Pelodiscus sinensis: one gene and its partners. The protein of the gene in region 2 interacts with the protein of the main gene of each other region in a pairwise test. Links are inferred from orthologs where the notes say so. Each region holds a gene or a part of one and is shown on either strand. Other genes may lie near its edges.

The links.
Region 1: the proteins of CCNH (region 2) and KLC3 interact in binary tests that used the Homo sapiens proteins (3 or more experiments, as listed by UniProt). The two-hybrid records come from large-scale screens. The link is inferred for Pelodiscus sinensis from reciprocal best matches to the Homo sapiens genes CCNH and KLC3.
Region 3: the proteins of CCNH (region 2) and SSX2IP interact in binary tests that used the Homo sapiens proteins (3 or more experiments, as listed by UniProt). The link is inferred for Pelodiscus sinensis from reciprocal best matches to the Homo sapiens genes CCNH and SSX2IP.
Region 4: the proteins of CCNH (region 2) and ZNRD2 interact in binary tests that used the Homo sapiens proteins (3 or more experiments, as listed by UniProt). The two-hybrid records come from large-scale screens. The link is inferred for Pelodiscus sinensis from reciprocal best matches to the Homo sapiens genes CCNH and ZNRD2.

The regions. Positions count from the first base shown.
Region 1 is NW_027465849.1:7,073,611-7,081,504, forward strand, and holds the start of KLC3 (kinesin light chain 3), read left to right. Parts: upstream 1-4,854; 5' UTR 4,855-4,963; intron 4,964-5,721; 5' UTR 5,722-5,734; coding exon 5,735-5,992; intron 5,993-7,024; coding exon 7,025-7,252; intron 7,253-7,463; coding exon 7,464-7,539; intron 7,540-7,894. UniProt on the Homo sapiens protein: Kinesin is a microtubule-associated force-producing protein that may play a role in organelle transport. Plays a role during spermiogenesis in the development of the sperm tail midpiece and in the normal function of spermatozoa.
Region 2 is NC_134716.1:76,318,328-76,325,873, forward strand, and holds the start of CCNH (cyclin-H), read left to right. Parts: upstream 1-4,508; 5' UTR 4,509-4,632; coding exon 4,633-4,749; intron 4,750-5,045; coding exon 5,046-5,168; intron 5,169-7,536; coding exon 7,537-7,546. UniProt on the Homo sapiens protein: Regulates CDK7, the catalytic subunit of the CDK-activating kinase (CAK) enzymatic complex. CAK activates the cyclin-associated kinases CDK1, CDK2, CDK4 and CDK6 by threonine phosphorylation.
Region 3 is NC_134719.1:29,851,212-29,858,435, reverse strand, and holds the start of SSX2IP (afadin- and alpha-actinin-binding protein), read left to right. Parts: upstream 1-4,222; 5' UTR 4,223-4,380; intron 4,381-7,224. UniProt on the Homo sapiens protein: Belongs to an adhesion system, which plays a role in the organization of homotypic, interneuronal and heterotypic cell-cell adherens junctions (AJs).
Region 4 is NC_134721.1:36,059,257-36,066,989, reverse strand, and holds the start of ZNRD2 (protein ZNRD2), read left to right. Parts: upstream 1-4,682; 5' UTR 4,683-5,028; coding exon 5,029-5,047; intron 5,048-5,413; coding exon 5,414-5,565; intron 5,566-6,322; coding exon 6,323-6,407; intron 6,408-7,469; coding exon 7,470-7,733. Other genes in the region: coiled-coil domain-containing protein 87-like, read left to right, coding at 1-774. UniProt on the Homo sapiens protein: Might play a role in mitosis. Antigenic molecule. Could be a centromere-associated protein. May induce anti-centromere antibodies.

The DNA of each region.
Region 1 (7,894 bases), on a different chromosome or scaffold from region 2:
CAGACCTGAAACGAGTTCTTTCTGATAACCATGCCACAAAACCACATCATAAGCCTCCAGGGACCCAGCCCTGCAGCCAAACACGATGCCAGCTCTGCCTACATATCTAGACTAGCGAATTCATCACTGGAGCCAACAACATCAGCTACCGAATCGAAAGGTCATTTGACTGCACAGCCAGAAATTTGATCTGTGCCATCAAATGCCAGCAGTGCCCCACTGCTATAGATATCGGACAAACTGGGCGGTCTCTGTGGGAACGAATCAATGGGCACCAAGCAGAAATATGTAAAGGAAATATACAGAAACCTATTGGGGAACACTTCAGTCTTCAACATCACGCTTTAAAACATGGGTTCCCAAACTGGGAGTGGTGCCCCCCAGGAGGGTATAAAGAAATTCCAGGGGGGGACACAAGGCAGCCCAGGTCCCCCCTCATCAATCACCCCCCCCCCAAGTTTTGCTGCTATTTTTGTTTTTCAGCTTCCCATTAGTTTCTTTTCTTTTCTTTCTTTTTTGTTTTTGCTCAACAAGTTTTGTTGCTATGGGGGGGGGGGGGGAGTTTCTCAACAATCAGAAAGGGGGCGTGATGCCAAAAGTTTTGGGAACCGCTGCTTTAAAAGAGCCCCAAGTAGCTGTCTTGTCACAAACCAGGTCTACAAGCCAGATCCACAGGGCAGCATTAGAATTAGAGTTCATCCGCAAAGTCAGTTCACATGCTAAGGGACTGGATGGTGATGAAAGTTGGTTAGGACACGACCAATTTAGCAGCTCTCGGTGTAGCATCCTTCCTGACATGGGAGTCTATCTATTGACTTTGATTCTTAGCTGCTTCAGTTTAACTAGCTAATCTTCTGATACTTATTCTGACGATTCCCTCTGCTTGCTGTCTCCTACCCCTCCCTTTTTCTTCCCGCCCCTCTCCCCTTCCCCTCTCCTATTTATTTTGGGTGTACACATCCTAAACTCATAACTCCGGTCATCTGAAGAAGTGGATTGTGCCCACGAAAGCTCATGATCCCATCTACATGTTTTGTTAGTCTATAAAGTGCTACCAGACCATTTGTTGTTGGTGGGTTTTTTTGGTTTATACCTGTCGCGCATCATTCCAGGAGGCCTTGAGCTTTTCATTTAAAAAAAAAAGAGACTTGATTTTTCAAATCTGGGTGCATAAGGCAACTAAATCCATATCTGAGTCACTGTACGATTTGCAGGGGTGCTGAGTACCTGTGAGTCATAGCGCCGTTACTGAAATCCCTTTTGGTGCGGGGCAGGGATGTGAACGACTCGCCGCCTAATTGCTCCCTGTCACAGTGGTGCCTAAACTTCTCAGCATCACATCCCCTTTTTGATTTTTGAGAAACCCTCACGGCCCCCCCAAAAAATAGCAGCAAAACTTGTTGAGCAAAAAAAAAAAAAAGTTGCCCTTTTAAGAGCAGAGCAGGCTTTGCCCTTTTAAGGTGACCATTTTGAAGTCTACCTGGGACATTCCATCCTCCCCTGATTTTTTTTACGGGAGGGATCGGGCTCTTTCTTGGGGGGAAATTGATGGGGGAGGGTTCGGTCGCCTTGCACCCCCACCCCTGGAATGTTTTCATGCCCCCCCAGGGGGTGCACCCCCCAGTTTGGGAACCTATGCTCTATCAGAAAGAGGCAGCCAGTGGGGGGAAGAGGTAGGGGTGTGACGTAGTGGGGGTACCTGGCTGGTTTCTATGCTGCTGGCTCTGGGGTAACCCCCACTGGCTGCCGTGGGTACCACGACCCAGCAAAACAGGATGAGTCACTATGCAAACCAGTGGCCAGACACCCCCCATGGAGAGGAACAAAGGAAGGGGGAATGCTGCCCTGGCTGGGGGGCAGGGCTGGAAGTTGGTTAGTGAGTTGGTGGCTGTCTGGGAGCATGGAGGAGACAGCCTAGGGAGAGGAGCTGGAGTTTAGGGGCCCAGTCTCCCCCCAACTCAAGGGAGCCTGAGGCATCCTAGCCCAGCTCTGTGACCAGACTACATCTGTGCTGTGCTGTATCCTGGAGAGGCAATAAACTTCCTCTATTCCACCGGCTGGTGCAGTCTGTTTGTGCCATTTCGGGGTGCAGGAGACGGGGGACCCCAACGCACCGTCACAAGGGGTGCTTCAAAGTGGCAGTGCCGCGTGGAGCCAGGGTCAGCTGGGGTCTCCCCTGCTGACCCTGGGCTCCATGTGGTGCTGCGGCTTTGAAGTGTAGCAACAGCCCTGGGATGTAAATTGCATCGACTATTCGATTAGCCAATTAATCAAAATGTTACATCCCTAGCGCGAGGCTTATTGGCAGAGCAGGAACGCGTTAACCCTTTCAATGCTGCCCTCTCGCACGCGTGCAGCGAAGCCAAATGACACATTGATTCTATATTGATGGCTGTGGGTTTGTGCAAAATAAAGTCCTACTTCCTGATTGGCCCCAGACTCCCCATTTCGCACTAACAATCCGGCCACTGAAATGAGCGGAATGCGCCTCTTTTGACACCGGCATACGCTGGGCGAAAGGTTTAAATCGTGAGCTTTGTGTTTCACCGGGAAAAAAAGTCCCGACAACGCCGATGAGAGTTTGCGAAAAAGATTTGCTCGCAACATGAACATGGCTTCCCCCCTTCAGCTGCCATTGCCATGCAAGGAACATGTGTACAGTTATGAATCCCCAAATCATTCGGTTACGGAACGGAACGGCAGCTTTCCGTCTTTCGGATTCAGCTGTACCACGTCTGGGTCATTAGTCCCCAAAACGAATGATGTTTGAAGGCAAAATCCTACAAGTTGGAAGCGGTTCTTTTACTCCCCTTTGGCGAGCACGTGAATAAAAAATTCTAGGGCGTCTATTTCACTGCTTGAACTTACCTGTCAGCGTAATTGACGCAGAACGGCTTTGCCCGGTCAGGCACGCGCCTCCGTGGCTAGTTTCAAGATTTATCTGGACAACCGTTTCGCTTCTGATCATTGTAGCGGAAACACCCAGTTTAGGAAAGGCATCCAAAAAGGGCACCCCAGCTCCCTCCTGACCTTCTGGCAGGGTTCACTCCCTTCGCCCCCAATGAACAGACACCTGTCGGTCAGGTAGTCGTAGAATCATAGAATAATAGGACTGGAAGGGACCTCGAGAGGTCATCGAGTCCAGCCCCCCGCCCTCAAGGCAGGACCAAGCTCCGTCTACACCATCCCTGACAGATGTCTATCTAACCTGTTCTTAAATATCTCCAGAGAGGGAGATTCCACCACCTCCCTTGGCAATTTATTCCAACATTTGACCACCCTGACAGTTAGGAATTTTTACCCAATGTCCAATCTAAACCTCCCCTGCTGCACTTTAAGCCCATTACTCCTTGTCCTGTCCTCAGAAACCAAGAGGAACAAATTTTCTCCTTCCTCCTTGTGACACCCTTTTAGATATTTGAAAACCGCTATCATGTCCCCCCTTAATCTTCATTTTTCCAAACTAAACAAGCCCAGTTCATGAAGCCTGGCTTCACAGGTCATGTTCTCTAAACCTTTAATCATTCTTGTCGCTCTTCTCTGTACCCTTTCCAATTTCTCCACATCTTTCTTGAAATGTGGCGCCCAGAACTGGACACAGTACTCCAGCTGAGGCCTAACTAGTGCAGAGTGACAGACACATGACAGACACATGACATTTACCAGTGCTACCCTATGGCAATCCAGGAGCCTGCCAGCTCTTTCCCCTGCTTGCTTTCACCTTGGTGTGGGTGGCAAAGGGTTGGCCAGCAGCCGGCAGGGCCTGGGCGTCTGCAGGGAATACAAGAGGCCTGGTACCCACAGAAGGGCTCCAGCCCCCTCATTCCCGTCGGGGAAGCAGAGAAACAGCCCGAGCTCTGCTTTTGGGGTAGTCACAAAGACAATTGCCTTGCAAACCAAAAAGCAGGCCACAGGCCCTGGTGTGCCAGCACCGCCGAGATACCCCTGTAGGTACCCACAGTGCTGCAGTTTGCAGGTGAGATGCCCTACACAGCCCCACACCGGCCCTCGCCACGGCACACGGGAGGCTGAAGCTGTGGGGGAAAGGGGCTGCCGACTCTCCTGCATCGGTCGGACGGAGGTTGGGAATGGCCGGCACGGGACTGGCACTGAGCTGGGGGCTGGTGGTAGCCGGACGGATGCTCCCTTCCCCCATCATCCCCATCCCCTCTCCCCCAATTTCTCCCTCCCACTCCTCCACTTCTCATCTCCAGCAGCAGCCTCTGCCTTTCAGGGGAGTCCCGGAGAAGCCGTCCCATGGCCAGAGGCCCCGGTGAAGGGCATGGTCTGGCCGTGCAAAGGAAGCAGCCCCCCCAGAAGGGGCTTGGCCAGAGAGCTGGAGGAGCATGGGGTGGGGGAGGGTGTCACCGGATTGGGGCTGAGCTAGATGCAGGTGGCCGGGGGCTGGCACCCAGGCGGGCCCAGGCCTGTTCCGTTTGGGCCCCTCTAGGCCTCTCTGCAGTCTGGCAGGACGGAGCTGGCACAAGAACCCGGCTCCCAGCCCCCCCCCCACCATGGGCAGAGGGCACAGCCCTGGGGCTAGTCCCTGCCCCACCCCCGACCCATAGGGCCCTGGCCAGCCTCTGCGCTGTGGCCCCCAGGAGAGGGGGGGCTAGATCGCACGATGGCAGGATGTGGCCGGCCCCAGGGCCATGCCGGGGCCCCACGAGCTCACAGCAGCTCCTCGTGGGCCCCCGACCACCGCAGGGAGAGCAAAGGCTGCTCCGGGGGAAGGGGGGCCTAGTGGTTACGGCCCCGGGCTAACGCTCGGGGGCGGAGGAGGCCGGGCGCTCTGCAGGGGGGGCCGCCACGGTGAGCAGCACAGGCGACCCCACCCCAGCTGGCCCCGCCCGGGGGGGGGCGGAGCCCGGTGCATTGTGGGTGCCGCCCATGGCAGCGGCAGGTGAGCGCGGAGCCAGGGGCGGGCGGGCGCGGCGCAGACGTCGGAGGTTCCGGCCGGCAGGTGGGTCCCGGCGGGGTTGGGGGCTCCCCGGGGCGGGCAGCCCCACGCGCGTCCGTGCGCCCTGCCGGGGCTGGTGCGCGTTTGCGCGCGGGAACCCCGTGTGCGCACCCTGCGTGTGCACGGTTCGTGTGTGCGCACGGGCCGCGCGCGTGCCCTGCTGGTGGGCCATAGGCTGCGTGTTGCACTTTTGTACGTGCGTGTGCACACCTGGGAAGGGGGGTGCCGGGCCTGTCCCGCTGGCGCTCCCCTGCCCGTGCGCACCAGGCTGTGGGTGCCCTGTTTGGGTACGTGCGGGCTGGGAGTGCCCGGTGCCTTGTGCATTTGGGCTTGTGCACGGGTGGGGCGTGTTGCTCCCGCGTGTGCCCCGCCTGGGCAAATTTGGTTCTGTGCCACACCAGGTGCCCTTGCTCCGTGCGAGGCTGGTGTGACTGGTTCTCCGGGAAGGGAGGGAACGCAGCATCCAGCTGGCACCCAGACTGGGGCCCTTCCTCCCCTGTGTGGACTCTGCCTTGGGGCGCCCCGTCCCGCCCGTCTGCGCTACACGTTCCCTGCCAGCCCCACTCAGCCCCGCATCCCACCCTTGGAAGGATCAAAGCTCACGTCCTGTCCCACCCTGAGCGCCCCCTTTCGGGCAGGGCCCCTGCCCACTCCAGGGGCAGAAGGGCGCCGGGCCTGGCTCCAGGGAGCTGGGAGGGAGAGGGGCGCAGGGACCGCCCTGGCGGGGGAACGGCCGTGCTCAGGGTGCCCGCTCCCCGCAGGCTCGGCCGTGCCATGTCCGTGGTGGCGGAGGCCGGCGAGAGCCAGCCGGCGAGGATGACGGCCGATGACATCGTCGCTGGCACGCGCCAGGTGCTGAAGGGGCTGGAGGCGCTGCGGAGCGAGAACCGGGGCATCGCGCGGCGGCTGGAGGCGGCCCTGCTTCAGGGCCCCGGGCCGGAGGGGCCCCAGGTGCTGGAGCTCCTGGAGGAGAAGTACGACCTGGTCCGCAAGTCGCTGGAGGGGATCGAGCTGGGGCTGGGCGAGGCAAAGGTACCGGCGGGGCTGGGCCAGCACCCCAGGGCAGTAGAAAGGCGGCTGGCTCCAGGAGCCGGGGCGGGGAGCCCCTGGTTGTTGCAGCCCCACCTTTCCCAGTAGGGGGCGCTGTGGGGAGCAGGGCAGGGGCACTGGCTGGGGGGAGCTCCTGCAGCCCCAGCCTGTCCCAGTAGGGGGTGCTGGGGGGAGTCCCAGCTGCTTTAGCCCCACTTCCCAGCAGGGGGCGCTGGCTGGGGGAGGGGGAAGAGCTTCTGGCTGCTGCAGCCCCAGCCTCTCCCAGCAGAGGGCACTGTGGGGAGCAGGGCAGGGGCACTGGCTGGGGGGGAGCTCCTGGCTCTCCCAGCAGGGGGCGCTGTGGGGAGCAGGGCAGGGGCACTGGCTTGGGGGGGAGCTCCTGGCTCTCCCAGCAGGGGGCGCTGTGGGGAGCAGGGCAGGGGCACTGGCTGGGGGGGGAGCTCCTGGCTCTCCCAGCAGGGGGCGCTGTGGGGAGCAGGGCAGGGGCACTGGCTGGGGGGGAGCTCCTGGCTCTCCCAGCAGGGGCCGCTGTGGGGAGCAGGGCAGGGGCACTGGCTGGGGGGGAGCTCCTGGCTCTCCCAGCAGGAGGCGCTGTGGGGAGCAGGGCAGGGGCACTGGCTGGGGGGGAGCTCCTGGCTCTCCCAGCAGGGGGCGCTGTGGGGAGCAGGGCAGGGGCACTGGCTGGGGGGGAGCTCCTGGCTCTCCCAGCAGAGGCCGCTGTGGGGAGCAGGGCAGGGGCACTGGCTGGGGGGGAGCTCCTGGCTCTCCCAGCAGGGGGCGCTGTGGGGAGCAGGGCAGGGGCACTGGCTGGGGGGGAGCTCCTGGCTCTCCCAGCAGGGGGCGCTGTGGGGAGCAGGGCAGGGGCACTGGCTGGGGGGAGCTCCTGGCTCTCCCAGCAGGAGGCGCTGTGGGGGCAGCGACTGGGGGTGGGGAGCACCTGGCTACAGCAGCTTCAGGGGGCCGGCCTGGCAGGGGAGGAGGTTTCCCTGCTGAGCCCGGCCCTGCCCTGGCCAGATGCTGGTGGCGCTGGCGTCCCACCTCGGGGCGCTGGAGGCCGAGAAGCAGAAGCTGCGGGCGCAGGCCAAGCAGCTCTGCCAGGAGAACCTGTGGCTGCGGGAGGAGCTGGCGGGGACCCAGCGGCGGCTGCAGCAGAGCGAGGAGATGGTGGCGCAGCTGGAGGAAGAGAAGAAACATCTGGAGTTCATGAACCAGCTGAAGCAGTACGACCCCAAGGAGGAGCAGGTGAGGCCCGGAGTCCCTTAGGCTGGGGGGCAGGAGAGGTGGGGCTGCTCCCCCGCTGGAATGGGGGGAGGACCCTAGGGGGCACTGTGGCCAGGTCCCCCCTTGGCTGACCAAAGCTCTGGGCAGGGAGGGGCCGGGCCTGGGTTTAGGGCTGTGGTGGGGGAGCCCAGCCACGCCCCTGCTTGCCCCAGCCGCTCCCCTGTCCCCGTAGCCGGAGGAGGTGGCCCCGCGGCGGAAGGACAGCCTGGCCTCCCTGTTCGCCAGTGACGAGGAAGAGCAGCGGCAGGGTACGTGCCGGGGGGGCTGGCAAAGGGGCTGTGGGGCTGCCGTGGGGCCGGCTCACTGCCCTCGGCTCTCTGAGCGCCCCCCCCCCCCCCCCAGCCCCTCGGTTCCGCCCTCAGGCGCCCGGCCCTATTGGCGGGATTGTTACCAGCGCCAACCAATTAGCTAGAGCTTTGAACCAGGCTGTGCACCCAGCTCACTTGGCCCGGAGTACCCCCTGCCTGCCCCCCTCCCCACGGCATCTGGCCCGCAGTACCCCCTGCCTGCCCCCCTCCCAGGCATCTGGCCCGCAGTACCCCCTGCTGTCCCCCTCCCTGGCATCTGGCCCGTAGTACCCCCTGCCTGCCCCCCTCCCAGGCA
Region 2 (7,546 bases):
ACTATTTTTAGGGCACTACCATGAACCTCTCTAACCTCAGTGTGTTAACCTGGATTGGGATGCTCATTTTTGCAGGCTCCAAAATACAGTAAACTTCCGATAACCCGGCACCTTTAGGATCCAGGGGGTGCCGGATTATCAGATTTGCTGGACTATCGGAAGGGGGGGCTATGAGGGGTCTGGGGTGGGAGGGGGGGATGCCTCCGGCTTCCTGGAGTCTGCCGCTGGTCAGTTTCAACAGCGGCTGAATCCAGATGCCTGGGACAGAGCAGCTGGGGCACTGCCGGGTTGGTCTGCTAGCGCCAACCCTTGGTGCTGTGGGACCAACCCGGCAGCACCCCAGCTGCTCTGTCCCAGGTGTCCCCAAGTCAGCTGCTGCTGAAACTGATCAGGGGCTGATTCCAGGAAGCCCGGGACAGAGCAGCTTTGCCTCGGGCTTCCTGGAGTCAGCCGCTGATCAGTTTCAGCAGCGGCTGAATCGGGGACAGCTGGGGGCAGTGCTATGGGACCAACCCGGCAGTGCCCCAGCTGCTCTGCCCCGGCTTCCCCGATTCATCCACTGGTCAGTTTTAGCAGCGGCTGAATCGGGGAAGCTGGGGGCAGAGCAGCTCCAATGGTCCAGCTGCCCGGAGCACTTCTGGGTTCCTGATGGTGCCGGACCATCAGGAGTGCCGGACCATCAGATGCCAGACCATCGGAGTTTTACTGTAGTGTGTAGATATATCCTTAAAAGACTCAGTTTACCCTGTGACTCAGATTTATAGAGGATTTCTATAACTTTATTCCATGAAATTAAAAAAAAAAAAAACAAATCACTTCACAAACTATTTTTCAAAAATCATGCTCTGATAATGTGTCATCTGCCAAAAAGAAAACATTAATGTTCCATCAGTAACAAGTAAATATTAAAACACAATTTGCTTATTAAAAAGTCTATTTTGCCTTTCTCTCCTGTTTTTTTTTTTCCTGCTCTTCTTCCATTTGCTTTCTCTTGTCCAGATTCTATTTCTTTACTTACACAGAATAGAACTTCACTCTATGAGAAGTGCCTTTGAACTACTCATGGAGTACAGTTGCTATCCAATATGAGTAAGGATATTAGAATCTGGCTCTTCTGGTTTACAGCATTTTCTTTTTTTAGTCTATTCTCTTTCTCACATCTCTTATTTTCTTTAACTCTCTTTCAAAAGTTAATATTTTAAATAGACTAGATTTGTGTCAGTTTCCCATATGAGTTCTGTCATCTTTTTCTCTTTAGGTGACAACTGGTACCTACATTACTCCTGGGGGATTCTGCACCAAAAAATTAAAAATTCTGTGCACGATATTTTACAAAATTCTCCAAAAGGTATTTGTCAACTTATCACTATATAATTGTCAAGTATGGGTTCTCTTGGCCAGGCCTCAGCTATAGCCAGATCTACCTCAGCAACCTCACCACCTCACATGGATAGCAACAAGGCTTATCTACCAATAAAATGGAGCTTGTCAGAGTCCAGCACTCAACACCATATATGGGCCTCACACCACACCCAAACTGCTCCCATGCCACTCCCTGAGCACAAACACCACCAAATATGGTAATAGGCAAGAACATAAAAACCTCTCTGCCCTTAGCTCTGGGAGGACTCCGGGATATTGGAAGACAGAATCTGAGTCTGGCTTAGGACTGATCACCCAAAGGCCGCCTCCCACCCACCGATCTAAAAAGTCTAAAAAGGGGTGTACAATCTCGAGCATGCTCCGTTTCCTTGTGTGTCTTTGTGTTGTTGTTGCTGAGTTTGTAAGTATTTAATTTACCCCCACTGTTGTTAAGTTGTTTAAAAGAGCCAGGTTAGAAAAAATATTGCTCTGTGGTAACTTTTACCCTTGCTATTGTCAGTGTTAAAGAAACCCTTGCTATTGTCAGTGTTAAAGAAACAGTTTTTTTAAGTGTGTATATATTTGACTTAGCTGTAACTTAGGTAGGGCTTAAAAGTTGTTGTATGGTAAATATTAGGTAGTTGTTCATTATATTAGGTAAATGTTAAGTAAATATTAGGAAGTTGTTCAGCTTAATAAATCACTCCTTCTTTAGTAAAACTTGTTGTTTTGCCATCATTCTGTATTTTCACTGGGTATTTGGCCTTAAGCCTCTGGGACTCCTGCCATTTTATCGAACCAAGAACCAACAATAATCATGCCAGTTTCATATATTTTGGTAACTTATTTCAAAATACCTGTCAGCAAGTATGTCTATAAAACGGGGGTGGACAATAAAAAAACAGCAGGCCGCGGGGTTAGTCCCTACCGGGTCACCGCCTCCATGTTTACCTATGCTTCCGCAGGTATCAGAGGATCATAGCGCTGGTTGGCTGTGAATCGCTGTTTGCAGCCAATGTGATCCTACGATACCGGCAGTGGCACAGGTAAACATGGAGGTGAGGGATTAAACGCCAGAAACTACCCCTAAAGACTGGATCCGAACCACAGGCTGGAATTTGCCCACCCTGCAATAACTATACAGATATACACATACAAACTCCCTTAAGAGTAGTGTAGAAGCTGTAGAAACCATTTTCATGTTTAGCTAGAAGCCATCTTGTATATCAGAAACCATTTCAGCTTTTCTCTCAAGCACGTAGACCAGAGTGAACTTTCTGTCACCCCGTGAGAAGAGGCCTACAGGATGGGCTATTGGTATGTGTTAATTAGGCTGGTTGGGACAGGAGATGTACTCCCTCGCACCTGTCCGCCATCTTGTTGATAAGGTTTGGTTTTTCCAAATTTAATTGAGGATTTCTGTAATTGGATGCCCTGACGTCAGACTGTTTGGCTAAGGGTATAAAGATATTAGAATTGATTGTATTAGCAGCCTTACTGGGTCTGGCTCTGCTGTGACCACGTTTGGCTCATGCTGTGCTTTATTAATTAATAAAGCTGTTTGTTAGCTGTCTAAACACAGAGGAGCGTGTTTTTGCTTCTACAGTAGATAGTTAAAGAAACCCCTATGACAACCCAGTTCCTGTTTCTCTTCCCTCTTCCCCCTATAGTTCAGCTTGTGATGAGAGATTTTGGCTCAATTGCCCAGAATGTCTTACAACACTTTAAATAGAAATCTGCAGGAACAACCTCACAAAGAGTTGAAATTCACCAGAATTATTATTGGCTTAATTGAACATGAGTGGTGATAATAACATGACCCTTTGGAATACTTAGGACAGTAATCAGTTTTAGGAATAAATCTTTAATTAAATACAAATGGAGAATAGCTTAAATTAGAAAATACAATAATGGTGGCTATAGCTAGGTTATGTAATGGAGTGGGGAATCCATAGGAATACATAGGAGCATGGGTCAGCAATGAGTCCATACACAAATATTAGGGATTGAAATTAAGTCTGTGGTAATTTTTCATAAAAATTCATATTCCAAGCTCTGTTGAAAAAAGTACATGGTTTATCTATGTACATCTTACATGTACTACTATAGTCTATGTGCAAATGGGCCGAGCCTTCAAATTCATCTAGGAGGCCAAAGTCACTGACCTACTTTCTTACCCGGGATGCCAAAGATGCACAGAATGACCTTTATCAGAGGGGTAGCCATGTTATTCTGAATCTGCAAAAGCGGCGAGGAGTCCTGTGGCACCTTATAGACTAACCGAAGTGTAGGAGCATAAGCTTTCGTGGGCAAAGACCCACTTAGTCAGATGCATGTCGTGGAAATTTCCAGAGGCAGGTATAAATATGCAGGCCAGAATCAGGCTGGAGATGAGGAGGTGGATCCAATCAAGGAGGATGAGGCCCACTTCTAGTAGCTGATCTGGAGGTGTGAATTCTTGGAATTCACTAGAAGTGGGCCTCATCCTCCTTGATTGGATCCACCTCCTCATCTCCAGCCTGATTCTGGCCTGCATATTTATACCTGCCTCTGGAAATTTCCACAACATGCATCTGACTAAGTGGGTCTTTGCCCACGAAAGCTTATGCTCCTACACTTCGGTTAGTCTATAAGGTGCCACAGGACTCTGCGCTGCTTTTGCAGAATGACCTTTGCCTTGCTTACAGGTTAGCCAGTTACAGTGGAGTGGGCCTTTGTTTCAAAGAAATTGCTGAAAAATACCCCAAATCTGCTCCTTTTTAAAGACCGCACGGTGGTACCAGGACTGCAACAAGAAACGCCAAGGACTGAGGTGCTAACTTGTGGCCAGAGTCAGTATTGACCATTGCTTTGTCTCCAGCTCTGAGCGCAAGTCCGGAGTTTTAACGTGCTCGACCTTTACCCAGCCTGCAGCGCTAGAGACTATAACTCCCAGCATGCACTGCTCGCTTACTACCCGCTTGCAGACGCCACTTGCCTCTGGGTAGAGCGCGGAACGCCGGTTAAGTCTGTCGCTGCCCATCCTGGGAATTGTAGTTTACTCGGGGCTGCACTACGGAGCTTGGTTGGGAGAAGCCGAGGCGCGCTGCACGCTGGGATCCGTAGTACACATGGGGCCCCGAGGCATGCTGGGATATGTCGGAGCTAGTTTACGCAGTGGGGTGTGAGGCTGGGCTTGAAAGCGCTCTAGTGCGTTGGTGGCGTGCGCTCGCGGGGCTGTGTGCGCTCGCGCGATCCAGGTGCCCGTTGAGGAGCGGTCGGTTGGCCGGGATGTACCACAGCAGCACGCAGAGGCGGCACTGGACCTTCCGCAGCGAGGAGGAGCTGGTCCGCTGCCGGGCCGACGCCAACCGCAAGTTCCGCTGCAAAGCGGTGGCCAACGGAAAGGTACCGATCGGCCCCGCTCGGACAGAGCCCAGGCTCGGGACTGGGGCGGCGGCGGCGGCGGCGTGTGGAGGAAGGGTCAGTCCCGGGGACCTCCTAGCTGGAGCCGGGCGCGGGGGATCCCCGCGGCGGCAGCTGTCAGCGTGTCACGAGTACTCGGCGCGGCTGCCGCTGGCTGCGAAGGGAGGGGCAGCGGCAGCAGAGCTGCGCCGGGCAGCGGGTAGGGGCGAGCCCCGGCGTTTCGGCGGGGCCCGAAGCAGCTGCCGAGCCCGCCCGGGTGACGTTGCCCGTGTCCTCAGGTTCGGCAGAACGACTCGCTGCTGCTGGAGACCCGGGAGGAGCTGACAATCTGCAAATACTATGAGAAGAAACTGCTGGATTTCTGCTCCGTGTTCAAACCTGCCATGCCCAGATCCGTGGTGGTGAGTTGGGTACCGAAAGGACGCGGCCTTTCCTTTGCAGACTGCCCCTGGCCTGAGACACCCAGACGTCCAGCACCCTCAGTAGCTTCTCGCAAGCCATGACTCTGGGGGCACTCGTCGCATCTTCTGAGCATTGGGTTTGTGGGGAATGAAAGGACTTGAGCCTTGCTGTCACCAAAAGAGCTCGGGGGAGAGGGGCTTGATATTTCCATCATTGGCTTTTTTTAGGTTTGTGCCTTTGTTTTAACTGTGGGTGGTTTCTTGTTGAGATTATTGGGTACTGCTACCAGAAACGCTAGTCCAGAATCAATGCAAGTGTGTGTGTTTTCTGATTAATGGGAGTTGGATCAGGCCAGTAGAGTTTGTGGCAAGTCTTTCAAATACTCTTGCTCAGGCTGACTCCCTTCCAGAGCAAAAGTGTAGAGGAGGAAAATTTACAACTGACTGAATCAGTTTTAGTGACTCTTGCTCTTGTGCTGTGTGTTCCTGTAGTCTGTGCATTTGCATGGCTGCTCAAGATAGATTCAGATGCTGTCTGGCTGTTCATCAGAGTGCCCACAGCTAGGTTTTTGTTTATATTGGTGGTGTACATTTTCACATGCAGTAGAAAGATTTATTCAACACATGGATGGAAAAGATTAGAGGGATCCTTGCTCTTATGTGCCAGATTATTGCATGTAAAATTGACAAAGTAAATTGATGAAAGAAATTCAGATTTAAGTTTTTTTTCTTTTGGATTCTGTGCTTGACAGACTTTATTATATTGCATTCTGTGCTACGTGTGACGAAGGTTAACCCTGTTGGTTTTGTTCTAGAAACTTACATATGTTGTGTTTTTAAAACAAAAACAAAAAAACAAACAAACTTCTCTCCAAGATAGGGATGTAATAGTATAGCTGATTAACCGATAAGCAAAAGCTTATAGGTTAACGTTATAGACTACATGCATTTCCCTCTCCCTGCCAGTAAATTTTTTAGCAGGTTGGCTAGCAGCCTGTCTCACAGTCCTGGCTTGTGATAGGTCCAAGACCTACCCCTACTGCAGCTCTGCATTTAAAATGTATTAGGAGCTGGATGGTCAGGCAGCCCAGCTCAGTCCTGTCTCACACCGGGTCAAGGAGCTCAGACACTTTTCCCCCCTGCTTCCCCTCCCCGAGACAGGGACTGCTGCCACCCTGTAGTGCTGCTTCTTCCTTAAAAGCAGCAGCGCAAGGTGACAGGCAAGCCAGGTAGCAAGGGCAGCTGGTTTTTAAACTAGCTCCCCTTGCAGACCAGCTTACACCTCTCACCCCGTGCTGCTGCCTCTAATACAGTGGCTGCTGGCCCTGCCCCCCCCCCCCGGGACTATAGACTAGTCGACTAACCGATAAAATGTCATGAGGTTACTCGACTGTTCAATTAACTGATATTTAACATCCTTAATCCAAGGCGTTACTTCTCAAACTATAGTCTGAAGTTTTTCATGTTTCAAAATATTTCATCTACAAATCTAACCAATGGAGAGGGGATTTGAGGTGTTAAGGAAAAAGAGCTCATGGAAAAAATTTTAGGTTTAAAATGGATTCAGTGGTACAAAAGGTACTTTTTCATTTAGAATTAGTGACCTGTTTTCTAGAATAGGTGGGTGGACAACAGTCAAACTTGGAGAAATCTGAATTTCTTACAAATTAACATTTTAGCTAAACATCCAACAAAAAACTCAATAGAAATAGAAACATGACAGAGTAACTGGGGGTGGTTACTGGACTGCATGTCAGTGTGTCTTTTCAAGATGCTGATGTGTAATGGATAGAGGGGAATGATGGCACAATGGTTAAGGCCCCCTTCAGTCTAGAGTTGGGTGTGTATGCTTCTTTGAGTTTGGGTTTAGCTCCTGCCCTTTGTGTCAGTATTTCTGCTGAGTAGCTTAAGTGGCTCACTACTCAGCTTGACTTACAAGGATCCCTTTAAGTGCTTAACTCTTTTGCATTCTATGGGAAGCTAAAGCGCCTTATTCAGGGCTGAGGGGTCTACTGTCCAGCAGATAACTTAAGAGTTAAATATTGCAGTAACCTCAGGATCTAGCCCTCCGTTTCTCTGCACCTCACTTCCCTGTGTGTACTTATACACCCTACTTATTTTTGTGTGGGCAGAGTGCAAGGTATAACAATACTTAATTATCTTGCAGGGTTATTGAGGATAAAATATGCTGAAGGTGGCTAGGTGCTGATTTTATGGTGGGAGCCAATAAATACCTTAGAGAAGGTTCTTAGAGAAGGTTGAAATCTGACTAGTGGATTAAAAAGTGTATATTCTCTGCATTGAACATTATCTATTTGCTGTTTGTGCTATCATGCCCAATTGGAACTTACTGACTCCTTGTATTTAGGGAACGGCTA
Region 3 (7,224 bases), on a different chromosome or scaffold from region 2:
AGGGGGGGAAACCCTTTTGCACAAGAGCCTGTATACCTCATTTTTTGAGGAATAAGGGCTTGTGCACAAAAGGGTTTTTTCCCCCCCGACAAATGGCCCCGTCTACACAGGGCTTTTTATTGCAAAAACCTCTTCCGCAAAAAGGATCAGAAGAGGATATGCAAATGAGCACAAGATATGCAAATGAGCACTCAATTTGCATTCTCTGTTCCGCAAAAAATGCACAGTGTAGACATAGCCTCAGAGTGAGAGGAGGTGCTAGGATTTTTGAAGACAGGATTAGAAGAATTGGCCTGAAATCACATGATGAAATTCAATAAGACAAGTGCAAAATACTTAGGAAAAATTAAATGCAGGAATGAGGAATAACTGTGTTGGTGGTAATACTGCTGAAATGAATTGGTAGGTTATTGACAGGATCACAACCTGCATATGAGTCAATAACATGTTGCAGGTGAGAAAAAGTCTAATATTCTTCTATAGTATTAACAACAGTGTCTTCTTTTTACTATATATTTTAGAAAAGCTGTTAGTTCAAGAACTCCTTCTAAACGGTAAGAGCTAGGACCACCAATTTTGGTGTGCAGCTTCCTCTTATCATAACTTAAAGAAAAAGGTAAGGATTCGTTTGTGAAAAAACAATGGGAAGAGCCTGGAATTTGATTGTTTCTCATAAAATGGAACAAGAGGTGTCTAGTAGGAGGGAGCTATACCACGGACAGGGGCAACAAGGGGCCAGAGATGGGGACCGGGACAGCTATAACCCCATTGAGCCAGCAGGGTGGAAGGTGGCGAAAGGGACAGCTAGCTACTATATCAGGGGTCAGCAACCTTTCAGAGGTGAAGTGCTGAGATTTGACTTATTCACCTCTATGTACGGTCCGAGTGCTGGTGATACTTTTTTAAGTCATTGATAGTGCTACTTGTAGCAGTTTCATTAATAAAGAAAGATACAGATCTTACCTTTTAGTGCTGGGATTGGCAACCTTTCAGAAGCGGTGTATCAAAATTTAGCTTATTCACAGATCTGTGTGCCCGGGAGGGGGGGAGGCTGGGTACAGTGACTATATTTTCTGAACCAGTTGCAGCTAGGGAGAATGAAATTATGAAACAATTAAGCATTTTAACTTTCTCATATTAAGCTTATCAAACTTCATTTTAAATAAAGTAAAATATTATGTCCAACACAAAAGGTTTCTATGTTTTCTTTATTTATGGCGGGAGTGGGGAACCATTTTTGGGTCAGGGGTTACTGACCCACAGAAAAATCAGTTGGGGACCACACAAATGAGAAGCAAAAAAAAACCTCCTTCAAAACCCCCCAACCCTCACTGATGTGGCCCCCAACTGAGACACCTCACTGGCTAGTGCCCCAGCCTCACGGGGCGAGGGGAAGGGAAGGGATAGGGGGACTGAGATTCAGGGCTTCCCATAGACCAGATTTACTTTTCGGTGGTTCTGGAGTTAGTGGATTTTAGGGACCCCCTTAGACTCTGGGGTAAAGACAAAAATGAGAGGTACAGTGTATGAGACAGGGCTACCAGCAAGTAGGATAGGGATGGGTGCAGGATCTGGGAGGTAGGGTACAGAAGGTGGAGAGGTTGCAAGGTCTGAGTGGGAGGTAGGGTACAGAAGCAGGCTGGGAGTAGGGTGTCTGGCCAGGTGGAGGGAGCAGGAACAAGGGAGGGTGCAGCAGCAACGGTGGGTGCAGCAGCAACAGGGTGGGAGTGCCTGCCCAGGAGGGAGGGTGCAGGAACAAGGGAGGGAGTCGGAACAACTCAGGGGTACAGCGTTTTGAGGGGAGTGAGTGTGGGTGGGGTCTGGGCATGAGGGGACCCCTTACCCGGCTTTGCACCTCCGTGCAGCAATGGCTGTGGCCATACTATCCCAGGCCACTCCGAAGGAAGGCCCGGCTGTCACTGCCAGGGCCCATGTGGTGCAGGGCCAACCCCAGAGGCCCTATTGTTGTGGCCACATGGTCTGGGGCTGGCTCCAGAGACCCTGCTGCTGTGGCCACATGGTTTGGGGCCGGCCCCAGAGGCCGGAGGCGCTGCTTCCATACAATTCTGGATTGACCCTGGACCGCATGGCCACAACAGAAGCACCTCTGGTTCTGGCTGAGGGGCCACTGAGGAGCCTCAGCCCTGCTTCCTCCCACTGCAGCATAACCTGCTGCAGGCAGAAGGGAGTGTTCGCCAGTGGCTGTGCTGGGCTGGGGGAGGCTGAGCTTCCTCCTCTGTGCTGCTGCTGAAAATTGGCTTGCAAGCCATAAATGGCACACGTGCTGTAGGTTGCCGACCCCTGTACTATATCTATCTAATCTATCTATCTCATAGAGCTTGTCTGTGTTTCTATTTGTCTGTCCCCCAGCCAGTGGACATGGATCCATCCTCCAACTTTGTCTGCTGCAGCTGCAGGGGCCACGGACAAATGCTTCTCACTTGGCTGCAAGTTGCTGTGGTGACGGAGGGCTGGGATCGTCCTCTCTCCCCAGGGCAGCCAGCATACTGAACCCTTCATCCCCCAGCCCACTCCCAATAGCAATTTAAATGAAGAGCAAAACTCACTTAAGGACCCAAACAATGCTGGGTAAATCTTCTAGTATGTAAGATATGGAACATAAGTGTTCCACTGTATTTGGCACTGATGAGCAGGGATGATGTGTGAAGGGGGATAAGAGGATATGTGACCCTCAAAATATCCTGGACAGTAGGGGCAAGGGGCCAGTGCCTTTGATCAGCCTGGGAAACTAGCAAAGTTAGTACACCATCATTTAGGGCTAGGTGTTCCTTGCACGGTATCACGCATACACCACCTGCAGGCTGGTAATCAATCATACATTGGGTGTAATAAACTGATTAGCACTCAACTCTTTTTATGCCTTGATTTTTTAAAATAAGGGTTTTTATTTTATTTCTAAAAAGCTTAAGTATTAAGTAGATCTAGCCCTTATCAAACTCTGCCTCTACTACCCCTTAGGAAACAAAGGGCGGGCTCTCTTTTGATTAGAGTATCAGGCAGTGCTTTTGAGATCTCATGAGCCTTTTGTTATCTTAATCACCTTTGCCTCTTTATAAACAAACTCCCTGCAGCAAAGGCTGTGGCTGCTCTCACCTGCCTTTTAGAAGTCACACTCAGGGTTGCCAGGTGTCTGATTTTTAACTGGACAATCCAGTATTTGAGCTTTCTGTTCAGGAAACAAATTGGCTGTGTCTACACTGGGCCACTTATTCTGGAAAATCAGCCGCTTTTCCAGAATAAGCTGCGAGCTGTCTACACTGGCCCTTGAATTTCCGGAAAAGCAACGATGCTCTACTGTACAAAATCAGCCGCTATTCCGGAAAAACTATTCTGCTCCCGCTCGGGCATAAGTCCTTATTCCAGAACACTGTTCCGGAAAAGGGCCAGTGTAGACAGCCCAGTAGTCTTTTCTGGAAAAAAGCCCCGATCGCGAAAATGACGCTCGGGGCTCTTTTCCGGAAAAGCGCGTCTACATTGGCCACGGATGCTTTTCCGGAAAAAGGGCTTTTCCAGAAAAGCAGCCTGCCAATGTAGACGCTCCTTTTCCGGAAATACTTATAACGAAAACTATTCTGTTTTAAGCAGTTCCGGAAATTCATGCCAGTGTAGACACAGCCATTGAGAAAATATCCATGTCCGGTAGTTTCTAAATAAGATGTAAGGTAGATTGTGCCGTAATGTCAAGTGTGTCCGGTATTTCTGACTCTACCTGGCACCCGTAAGTGTTGCAGTTAAGGTCTCTCTGGGGGGTGGGGGGGAGGGACTAGGGGGAGCAGACCCGGGTTCGAAAGGCGGGGTACAGCGCCCCCTCCCTGGCTGGCGAAGCAACGTTTCTTTCCGCCCGAGGAGGGAGACCCGCACCTCCCCCTCCAGTCCCATTGAGCCCCCCCGCTTCCCCCAGCCTGGCGAAGCGGCCGTTGCCTCCCGCATCCGCCCGTTTGGCTACGCGGCGCAAGGCAGCAGCGGTTCCCGGTTGCTGACGAGCCGCTGCAGGGACAGCCGGGCCGCGCGCAGAAGCCCACGAGCCACTCGCGCAGCCCAGCCCCCTTCGCAGGCGTGTCCCGGCGCAAGTTCCCGAGCGGCCCCGGCCCGAGCGCCGCGAAGGGCCCCCAGGCGGCGGAGGAAGAGGAGGTGGGTGCTGCGGCTCTCTGGCCCCTGGGCACAGGCGCTTGTTGAAGGTGTCCTAGCAACAGCCCGGCCAATGGGAGCAGCGCCGTGCCGTGAGGGGGCGGGGCGATTAACCCTGCGGGGCCCGAGCAGGGCTGGACTGAGTGCGGCGGGGCTGCTGGGCTCGCTCGGGAGTCGACTGCCTCCCCCGCCCCCTCCACGGCGGCAGCAGCAGCAGGTGGTGCCATGCGGGTGAGTTGAGTCCGCGCCCGGCCCTGGGCTGCTCGAGTTGAGGCGTTGGGGCCTCTGCCTGGCGCCGTTCGCCTCGCTGAGCCGCCCGCCGCGCTAGGAGCCGCGGGGCTGCGAGCGGAGAACGGCGCTGGCGGGCGCACGCAGAGGGAGGGGGGACCCGGCACACACGGGCGGGGGGACTCGCGGGGGTGACTTCGATACACACGGGAGGAGACGTTTGGCCGGGGGGGGGGGGGACTTGCGCACAGGTGGGCGAGAGAATTGGGGGGGAACTTGAGCATACACGGGAGGACGGGGGTCGGGCACACTCGGAGGGGGAGTTGGCGGGGGGGACTCGCACACACGGGAGGGGGAGCTGGCGGGGGGGGACTCGCACACACACGGGAGGGGGAGCTGGCGGGGGGGGACTCGCGCACACACGGGAGGGGGAGCTGGCGGGGGGGGACTCGCGCACACACGGGAGGGGGAGCTGGCGGGGGGGGACTCGCGCACACACGGGAGGGGGAGCTGGCGGGGGGGGGACTCGCGCACACACGGGAGGGGGAGCTGGCGGGGGGGACTCGCGCACACACGGGAGGGGGAGCTGGCGGGGGGACTCGCGCACACACGGGAGGGGGAGCTGGCGGGGGGGACTCGCACACACACGGGAGGGGGAGCTGGCGGGGGGGACTCGCGCACACACGGGAGGGGGAGCTGGCGGGGGGGGACTCGCACACACACGGGAGGGGGAGCTGGCGCGGGGGGGACTCGCGCACACACACGGGAGGGGGAGCTGGCGGGGGGGGGACTCGCGCACACACGGGAGGGGGAACTGGTGGGGAGTAGGATGGAGGAATGTTTATGTAACTGCCATGGGTGTGTTACACTGACACACACCCAGGGGATGAGGTGATGGTGGGGGGGGGAGAGACTCTAACGCACACAGGGTGGAGTTGGGGAGGGACGGAAAGGGGAGACCCTAGCACATACCTGGGAGCAGTCAGAGGGGTGGAGGAATGTTTGTGCACGTGAGATGGGGGAAATGGGCATGGGGGGGGGACACTTGTGCATACCTGAGGGGGCAGTTGGTAGAGGGTCCATTTGCACAGACATGGGCACGGGTGCTGGAACAATGTATATATTGGGTGTGCTGAAAGCCAGTAACCAAACTGTAAACATATACATTGGAAAGCATTTCAAGCCAAGGGGTGTAAAAGCTTGCCTAGTTCCAGCACTTGTGCATACTGGAGGAACATGCAGTTGGGGTGGTGCTCTTACATGCACCTGCTGCTTGCCAGTTTTGGTTGGATGTATTCCTGGAGATTTCATCACATGACAATGTTTCATTAAAGATTTAATTCCTGGAGATTCCAGAACGCTCTTGGAGGAGCACATCCAGTATTCCCAGTGTTTTTTTCCCCATTCGTGTGTGGAATTAATGTTGCTCTATAGATGTGCACCACCATTAGCTACACATGCTGCTGGATGTGGACACTCTACTAATCAGTTGGGTGGCTCTGAATCTTTATTGGGTGGCCTTTTGGGGAACACTCTGCACATCATACACAAATGGCTGAGGGAATGCTTGTGCATATACTGGGGGAGGGGGAGGAATATCAGATGGCAGGGGTTAGGAGGACACAGAGAGAGAGAGAGAGAGCGCGAGCGGGAGTTGGAAGAAGCTCATGGGGATGCTTCTGTATGGGGGGAGGGTGGTATATAGCAAGGGGACACAGTCGTGTACCCACCGGTGATCGGGTTAGTAGATGGCAGGGGATGCTTGCACATTCACAGGGGGGAGTTGACAGACATTTGGGGTGATACACACTAAAGGGAGCAAATTGGCAGGCAGTAAGGGGAGGTGCTGAGGAGTTTGTGGGTGGTAGGAGGCACCCATGCATGCCCTAGGTGGAGCAAGGGAGTTTGAAGGTTGGGGGAGGTGCACATGTCCATGCTATGGGTGCAGTTTGTAGACAGTAGGAGAGTGGGAGGAACATGCATGTGCACATGGGGAGGAGGAATTTGCGGCAGGTGTGATTATGGGGAGATTGCAGGTTGTGGAGGCTTGGGAGGGATGAGCCTGCATACATTTGGGGGAAATTGCAGATGATTGTGATTGGGATGATGTTCACGTATACATACTGAGGGAGTTTGCAGAAGGTAGGTGCTGATGGAATTGCATACATATAGGAGAGATTGTAGGTAGTGAGGGTTAGAGATATGTGCCCGTGTACATTTGGGGGCAGGTGGTGGAAGCAGGGGAAAGTGGGTACATATATGGAAAAATTATAGATGGTGATGGGGACATGCATGCAAACAGCGAGATGTTTGCAATTGGTGCAGTTGCGCTTGTGCTCTTGGGGAATTTGCAGGTGGTTAGAGGGAGTTCATATGTGATGACAACTTGGGAGAAATGTGTGCATGGGGGAGGGGAATTTGCAGGCAGGAGGAATATGCCTACTCCTGCTGGGGCAGTGGGGATGCATGTGGAGTGAGGACACATGGAGAGAGTTTGCAGGCATTTGGGGGTTCATAGTCTGTGTAGGGGGAGGGTCCTTGTAAACTGTGTTCAAACGCAGTATTTTAATTACTTTGGGAATTAAGCTGTGTCTACACTTGAAAAAAATTGAGGCGTTAACCTCACCCCCTCTTTGCCCTGAAAGACACAAGTTTTTCTGGGACAAGTGTTCATGAGAATCTGCTAACACAGGGTGGTGGGACATGAGAACTGATCCACGCAAGTGAGAAGCAAGAAAAAAAGAAAAGCAATCCCCCTCCCCCCCCCCAAAAAAAAACCAAAACAAAGCAAAAAAAACCCGGCAACCCTCATTGACCTGGCCCATCTGGGAAGCAGGAAAAAATATA
Region 4 (7,733 bases), on a different chromosome or scaffold from region 2:
CACACTGGCGAGCGCCCCTACAAGTGCCCAGCCTGTGGCAAGGCCTTCTCCCGCAGCTCCCACCTGGCGCGGCACCAGCGCACCCATACTGGCGAGCGCCCCTACCCCTGCACCGACTGTGGAAAGCGCTTTGGGCTCAGCTCCGACCTGGCCACACATCGCCGCACCCACACAGGTGAAAAGCCGTTCCGCTGCACCGACTGTGGCAAGGCCTTCTCACGCAGCTCCCACCTAGTACAGCACCAGCGCACCCACACTGGGGAGCGTCCCTACCACTGCGCCCAGTGCGGCAAGAGTTTCTGCCACGGCTCCAACCTGCTGCAACACCAGCGGACGCACCGCGGTGAGCGCCCCTACCGGTGCCAGCAGTGTGGCAAGGCCTTCAGCCTCAGCTCCAATCTGATCCGCCACCAGCGCATCCACACTGGTGAGCGCCCCTATCGTTGCACCGACTGTGGACGCAGCTTTGTACTGAGTTCTGACCTCCTGCAGCACCACCGCGTGCACACAGGCGAGCGTCCCTATCAGTGTCCTGACTGCGGCAAGGCCTTCTCACGCGCCGCCCACCTGGCCCAGCACCGCCGCACCCACACAGGCGAGCGCCCCTACCACTGCCAGTACTGCGGCAAGAGCTTCAGCCACGGCTCCAACTTCATCAAGCACCAGAGCACCCACTTGCATGGCTGGCAGCCTTGCTGGCCTCTCACAGAAGGTGGGGAAGGCCCCCAAGATGGCGGGGCCAGCAAGGAGGTGGAGAGGCAGGCACAGCCTTAGCGCACAGCAGTGCTTGGAGCATGGGACCTACTACACACAAGAATCCATTATTGCCATCCTCCTAGCCAGATCACTTGGATGAAGTGAGAACCTATTAAACACCATGGAACCCTGCTCCGGATGCTGCCGGGAACCTATTAAATGTTGCGGACCCTACTGCTGCTTTAAGAGCCACATCACAACCCACAATGTATTGTACATCAGACTATGCTGCAATAGGGTTCATAACCACCCAGCCTATCAAGCATCCAGCAACTCAACCCTGGCTCCAGCACAGTCCTTTGGGCTTGTTTAAGTTGGCCTGGTTTAGAAGCAAGTTTTTTGGGCCTGGTGCAAACATGATCTCAGCGACCTGCAGGTGAGAGCAGCCAAGCCATAGTTTGATCCTTGCTGTCAGATGAATGCAGCTCCCATCTATGCCAAAGTGCTTAGTACTTAGAGTGGAGGGCTCAGATCTCTCAAAGGCTGAGCGATTCAGCAGGCAGAAGCCAACCTGAGCCAAGTCAAACTAGCAATGAAGGGCAAATGTGTGCCAGGAGGGGGGATTCCAAAGCAGGGCAGCTCCTTCGGGGCTGGGGGGAGGAATGCTCAATCTCTGGGGGGGCACAACATCCAGGCCATGTGTCTCTGAAAGCTGTGTTCTAGCTCCAGGGTGAGCTCATGTGATACAGGGAGGCAGGTTGGGAGATGAATACTGTTCCTTCTCTCCTGTTAGCTGTAGTGGCATTCCCACATGTGCCCAGCTGTAGAGGGAGGCTCTTGTGAGCAAAGGCCTTAGAAGCTGGATCTGGGCCCTTCTTTTTGCAGTAACCCACCTCTACCCAGCAGTCTCATTTCCTCCCCTTCTGCCAGAGTTCAGCATGGCTCACACTCAAATGAGAAGCTGACCAGCAAACCCAAAGGATGTGCACGGGTGGGGGACGTGCTCCCAGAAAATCCAGCCAGCCAGGTGCCTCCAGATGAGATGCTACTAACCTCTCCTCCACCTGGCAGCATGCCCAGCCTGTGGCAGCTCTATAGAAGGCTGCCAGTTTGGAAGTACACTGATAGCTGGGCTGGAAAGAGGCATCTTGGATGAGGTTCTGTGGTCTGTGCTATGTGCAGGATAGACAGGTGAGTGCTGTACTCCACTGGTTCTCAGATGTCTGTGTTTGTGACCCCTTTCACCCAGCAAGCCTCTGTGTGAGACCTCCCCTTATACATTCAAAATACTTTATAAAAACACCATTATAAATGCTGGAGGCAAAGTGGGGTTTGAGGTGGAGATTAGCAGCTCTACCCCCATGTAGTAACCTCATGATTCCTGAGGGGTCTCAACCCACCCCCCATTTGAGATCCATAATCTCTTCTGGTCTTGGACTGTACACTCTTGTCCTAGTCCGTCCTTTACCCAGTCTGTGCTGCTTCCAGCCTTCCTGGTTACTATCACTTGCCCAGGTCTCTCTCTTGCCAGTACTCTAGCTTCTTTGGGTGATAAAGAAACCCCCCATTTCTGCTTTATAGCACTTTTAGGGAGTGATCCGTAGTTTGTCATGGGCTACGTTCTCGCTGAGTGATTTCTCTGAGAGCCACTGCCCTTGTCAGTCTAGTCTTCAAGACACACAGTGCAAAGAGACAGGTGACACTCATAGGCTGTGTTCTTCCAGTCTGATCTGGGAGGCGATTGAATCTGCCCCCCTTTGGAGGTGCTCTCCTCAGAGGCTGTTGCTGTTTCCTAAAGGCATTCTGCAGGGTGGGCTTGGGGCTGGACTTGACCAGAATGAGCAGGTTCTGGGCTGTCCCTCAGTGAGAACGTGGGAAAGCATAGCAGCCAGCTAGCTCAAAACCTCATGTTTAAGTCAGCAATGGCAAGGCAAAGAGGTGACTTGGTACCCGTCTGTTAGTCCCGGCCTACAGGGAGAAGTTTCTGACAGGCAGTGACATGGGCCCAGCAAGGCTGGGAACTGTTGCCACACAAATTAACACTGGCACTAAGGGGCAAGAATTTCCCAGGGGAGGGATTCCCCCAGTGGAAGAAGTGACCTGCAGAGTGGGAGGGAAGATTCTCCATTGGTTGGAGTCCTTCGGTCCAAAATGAGCTGTCTGCAGAAGCTACTAGGTGAGTGCTATGCAGGAGGTGGAATTAGACTATCCTAAAATAGTCTTAGAATGGAAATGTGCCTCACTGCCTGTAGTGCAGTGGTGGGCAACTTGTGGCCTATCAGGGTTCTATGTATGGCCTGCAAGACATTTTGTTTACTGTTGCCTGTGTGCAGGGTTGCCAGATTCTGCTGGTTTCCATCCACATTATTTTTTCCTACCAGTATTACTAAAGTGAAACACACACAAAGCAAAGGCACGTGAAGCAATGTGCATGCTGATTGCTCATACTATTGACTGCAAGAGCCATGCACGCCCTCTGCATCCAATCAAAGTGCTGCTATAGTTCATTTGGCAAACTCTGCAAATTCTAGGTATGCAAGTGCAGTTAGCAAAACAATTCTATCCCAGGAGACTGTCTTGGTTACAACAATCTTGCAGACCACTGAGATGGAGGGCAACTCATGCAGCCCATGCACTTGCCTAGTTTGCCCACCACTGCTATAGTGGCTTTGAAAACCTCAAGGCCAGTTCAGGCAAGCAAGCAGTGTGGAAGAGCTGTCCAGTACTGCTGCAGTGGGCTAATATGCTGCCAACCATACTGGCTTCATTATGCTTTTGTTACCAAGATGCATTGTGAAGACATGACAGTCCAAAACAGTGTGGCAATTCCCTCTAGGAACCAGCTAAACTGGTCAGTCATTCAAGGAGGATAAGGACACTGCTGAGATATACATGATCTTGTGGGATGATAAAGTCAGTAAGGCATCCAAGAGTTCATAAGAAAGAAGCTGCTGAGATTTTTGGGAGCACCTACTTATAAGCAACAAATGATGTGCCTCCTTAGAAAATCCTGGAAGTTTTATTTCATTCCTTGCTAAACTGTTTGGAAGAAACACAGTACTGGAAGCCATCAACAATGGGGGTAGGAAGAGCTCTGACTGATGAGGGAAAGTCAGGCTGTGCTGGTGCATTAGACTTTGTGGAAAACAGCTCCAAACTAAATGTCAGCGAAAGAGAATCCAGTCCTATCATTCATCTGAATTCACAAAAGTCTGTGGCAGAGTCTCTCCCGAGAGCAAGGAAACTAGAAAGGAGGCGAGAGAGATAAAGGCTTGACATCTACCAGAAATGTCCTAAGAGACAGGAACTAATGGGTAGCCTTAAATAAATGGTCTCCTTTCATTAACATTCCAGTCATGCAAATCATCCCAGCTGATTTCAGTAATACCTACTAGGGCACATTATTACTCATCAATGAGCAACTGCACTTCATTTTGTTTATTATGCAGGCTCATAGCATCAGTGTAGAGGCAATTAAATAATTGCTTTTCTTTGGGTCCCTTGTCTTGCTTCAGTTCCTTCTCACTAAATGATCACCACTCTCTCGCTCCTTGTCATACAACTGATTACAAACAAGCTGATACAAACACTGAGGGGGAGTACAACTCTGTATAGCCAACTCTGACTGAAGCTATTCCAGAAGATTATTTTCCCCTGACATGGCATCATCTCAGTTTCTTGCAATATTCTATTAAAAGCTCCTGGATTGCTGTCAGTAGTCACCTTGAAATTGAGGCCAATTCACGAAGGCTCCAGGCTAATTCTGGAGAGTTGGCAACTAAAACGGGGAGCCAGCCTAGCTCCTGCAGGGTTGAGTGCTCCCTGCAGTGTGGTGTCCTGTGGGGGTGCCCTCTGGCTGTGGAGATAGAGCTGTTGGAGGGCAGTGACCGAGCCCAGCTGTAGGTGGTGGGACTGGAGGGCGGGGGGGGGTCCCAGCAGGCTGGATGCTGCAGGTGGAACCTAGGCGTCCTGGCTCCCGTTGGTCTTGGGCTGGGGGCTGGAACTGGCCTTTCCCCGGCCTGCAGGCCGGCGGTGGGAAGGGAGGACCGCGGTCGCTTCAGGCCGGGACCAGTCTCCCGCCGCGGAGGTGGGAGCGGAGCAGGGCTCCCTCCGGTTGGAACGCGCGGTCTCCAGGCCGGGAGGGTGGGAACAGGAAGTGCGCGGAACGCTAGAGCTGCTCCTTGCTCGGGGTTGGCACTTCCTGTCCAGTTTTCGTGAAACGTCACTTCCGTCACTACATTGAGTCTGGGTACCCTGCGTGAAGGTACTTCCGGCCAAAGCAGGAAGGGGCTGGGACTGAAGCGGCGCAGCAGCGAGGGAGTCCCAAGCGGCATGGCCCTGAACGCGACAGGTACCGCCTGGGGGCGGGGCAGGGGTAGGAGCTGCCTGGGGCAGCCGGAGGGGCGGGTGTGGCTGGGGGCGTAGGGCTGAGGGAGGGGAGCTGGGTCCGTGGGACTCCCCCAGCAGAGCCAGGGCTGGGGGCATCTGGCAGTAGAGGGGGGCAGCCCCATGTTACGGCTTCAGCCCAGCTCAGCCTCTCCTGGGCACAGCGGCACCGCTCTAGGCAGGCATAGCGCTGCGCGAGCGATTCAATAGAAACCCCCTGCACCCGTCGCTGAAGTGGCTCCCTCTCGGGGCCGGGCGCAGGGTCACTACACTGACAGCTTGCAAGGACTGCTGTGCGATGGCTCTGCCAACTTCCTGTATCCTCCCTCAGGCAACGATGATGGGAACTGGGAGCCACCTTCAGAGGCAGAGCTGAAGGTGATCCAGGCACGGAGAGAGCGACAGGATAAGATCAGCAGGGTGATGGGCGACTACCTGCTCAAGGGATACCGCATGCTGGGGGAGTGCTGCGAAGAGTGTGGGGTATGACCTGGGGCCCGTGCGGGGAGCCCAATAGAGGGCACTGTGCTCCATGCAGGAGCAGAGGGCGGTGGGGGTCCCCCAGCTATCCATCATTAGTTGTGCAGGTAGTGTTCATGGCCAGCTGCATCTCTTCTAACCTGGACTGATGCCTGAGTGTACTGGGACCTTATAGGGAGCAGGCTGGGCCAGACCTGTCATGTGCATGGGCCTGTGGGTCTGATCCAGGGGGGATACTGGTTTGGATGGGCCCATTGGTCTGCTCTAGCAGCCAGGGGGGCTGGATACTAATCTAAGTGGGCCTGTGCATCTGACTGGGAGAAAGGGAGGCATAGTGAGCTGAATGGATCTCAATGCCCTGCTCAGTGGTTCTGGAATGGGAGCTTCCATCACCCAGGAAGAGTTCCCTCCACTCCCAGTATGAGATCCTCCCCTTCCCATGTTACCTATTCCACCCATCCATATACATTGTGTTCCCCTGTAGAGCAGCATAGGCTGCTGGGAAAGCTGCTCCACTTCAGGGTCATGAATTCTAGTCCCTTCCATGCAACAGGGCTCCCAGCCTTCTGAGAGAGAATTATTGGATTCACCTCCTCCCTTTGCTCCCTCTCCCTCATTAGAAGCCTAGGGGTAATTCTAGTCTGCCTCTGCATTAGAGATAGAGAGCAGCTTTGGTGTCACTGCTTCCCCCAAGTTGGGCCAATCCTCTCTCTTATTGTTATGCCCTGAAGTCCCACACTAGTCTGTCTCCCCTTTGCAGACCATCTTGCTCCAAGACAAGCAGAGGAAACTTTACTGTGTGGCCTGCCAGGAGCTCAACTCTGACATCGATAAGGACAACCCAGGTATGGCCCTTCCCAGCATCATGCTGTCTGCCAGGGAGGGGTTGGAGTGACTTGGGAATTATGGGGGAACTAGCTGATTCAGAAGCCAGGGAATGAGACATTGGTAAAACGGAAAGCATGTCACAGAAGTCTGTGACTTCAGCAACTTCTGCAGCTGGCACGTGCTATTGACCTGAGAGCCACCCCAGAAGCTCAGGCAGCACAAGGGCCATCTGTACTTCTCCCCCCCCCCCCCCACCCGATCCCGCTGCAACAGTAGCAGTCCCAGGACACCCTCCCCCGGTAGCTGTGGCAGTGCTAGGCCATCCCCTGCCTGCACCAGTGGGTGCACCAGAAGCCACCTTTAGATCTCCCACTACAAGCACCAGCAGGTGTCCTTGAGCCATCCTAGCATCAGTGGGCACCTCGAGCTCCCATCCAGAACATACAAGATAAGTCATGGACAGGTCACAGGGCCATGAATCTTTGTTTATTGCCCATGATATATCCATGGTTTTTTTATTAAAAATACTTATAACCAGGGCTCGACAAATTATACAATCTACTCGCCTATGGCGAGTAGATTGTAACCCGTAAGAGCCGGGTTTGGGCGATCTGCGCATGCACAGAACGATCTGCACACACACAGATCACTGGACAGCGCGGCTGGTGAGCGGGGCTCGCCACAGTTCGGCGAGCCCTGCCTATAACTAAATCTTAGCTTTAGACATAAGGCATTCCCTTCTCATCCACTCTTATCTAATTCTGGGCACTGCATAGAACCCACCTGGTATCTGGGCTCTGTAAAGCCAGGCACTGCACAGAGCCATAGAAAGAAAGACCCTGCCTGGAAAAGCTCATAGACTGAGCAGATCCAGGATGGAGAAGGAACAGGCACTGAGAGGGGAAGGGACTTGCTCAAGTTTAGTGGCAGCACTGGGAACAGATCCCAGGTGTTGTGGCTTGCCTGCCCTCCCTCACTTCAGCTGTGGACTGTGACTGCACCCCATTCTGCATCCTGCTGGCGCTGGAGGCAGCTCTGGTACTGGCAGATCTGATCTCATCTGTCCTCTCTCTTTCCAGCACTGAATGCCCAGGCTGCACTATCCCAGGTCCGTGAGCACCAGCTGGCCTCCACTGCAGAGGAGGCCACGCCCCTTGGGTACCTCCCAGCCACTCACCAGCAGCTCCATGTGCCACGACCAGAACATTGTGAGGGGGCAGCTTCAGGACTCCGAACTGCCGCCACTGCAGCTGCCATACCACAGGCCCAGCCTGCCCCAAAGCCTGCCCTGCCTGCCAGCCCCCTGGCTGCAGCGGAGGATGCCATCCTCCGGAAGCTCGTCT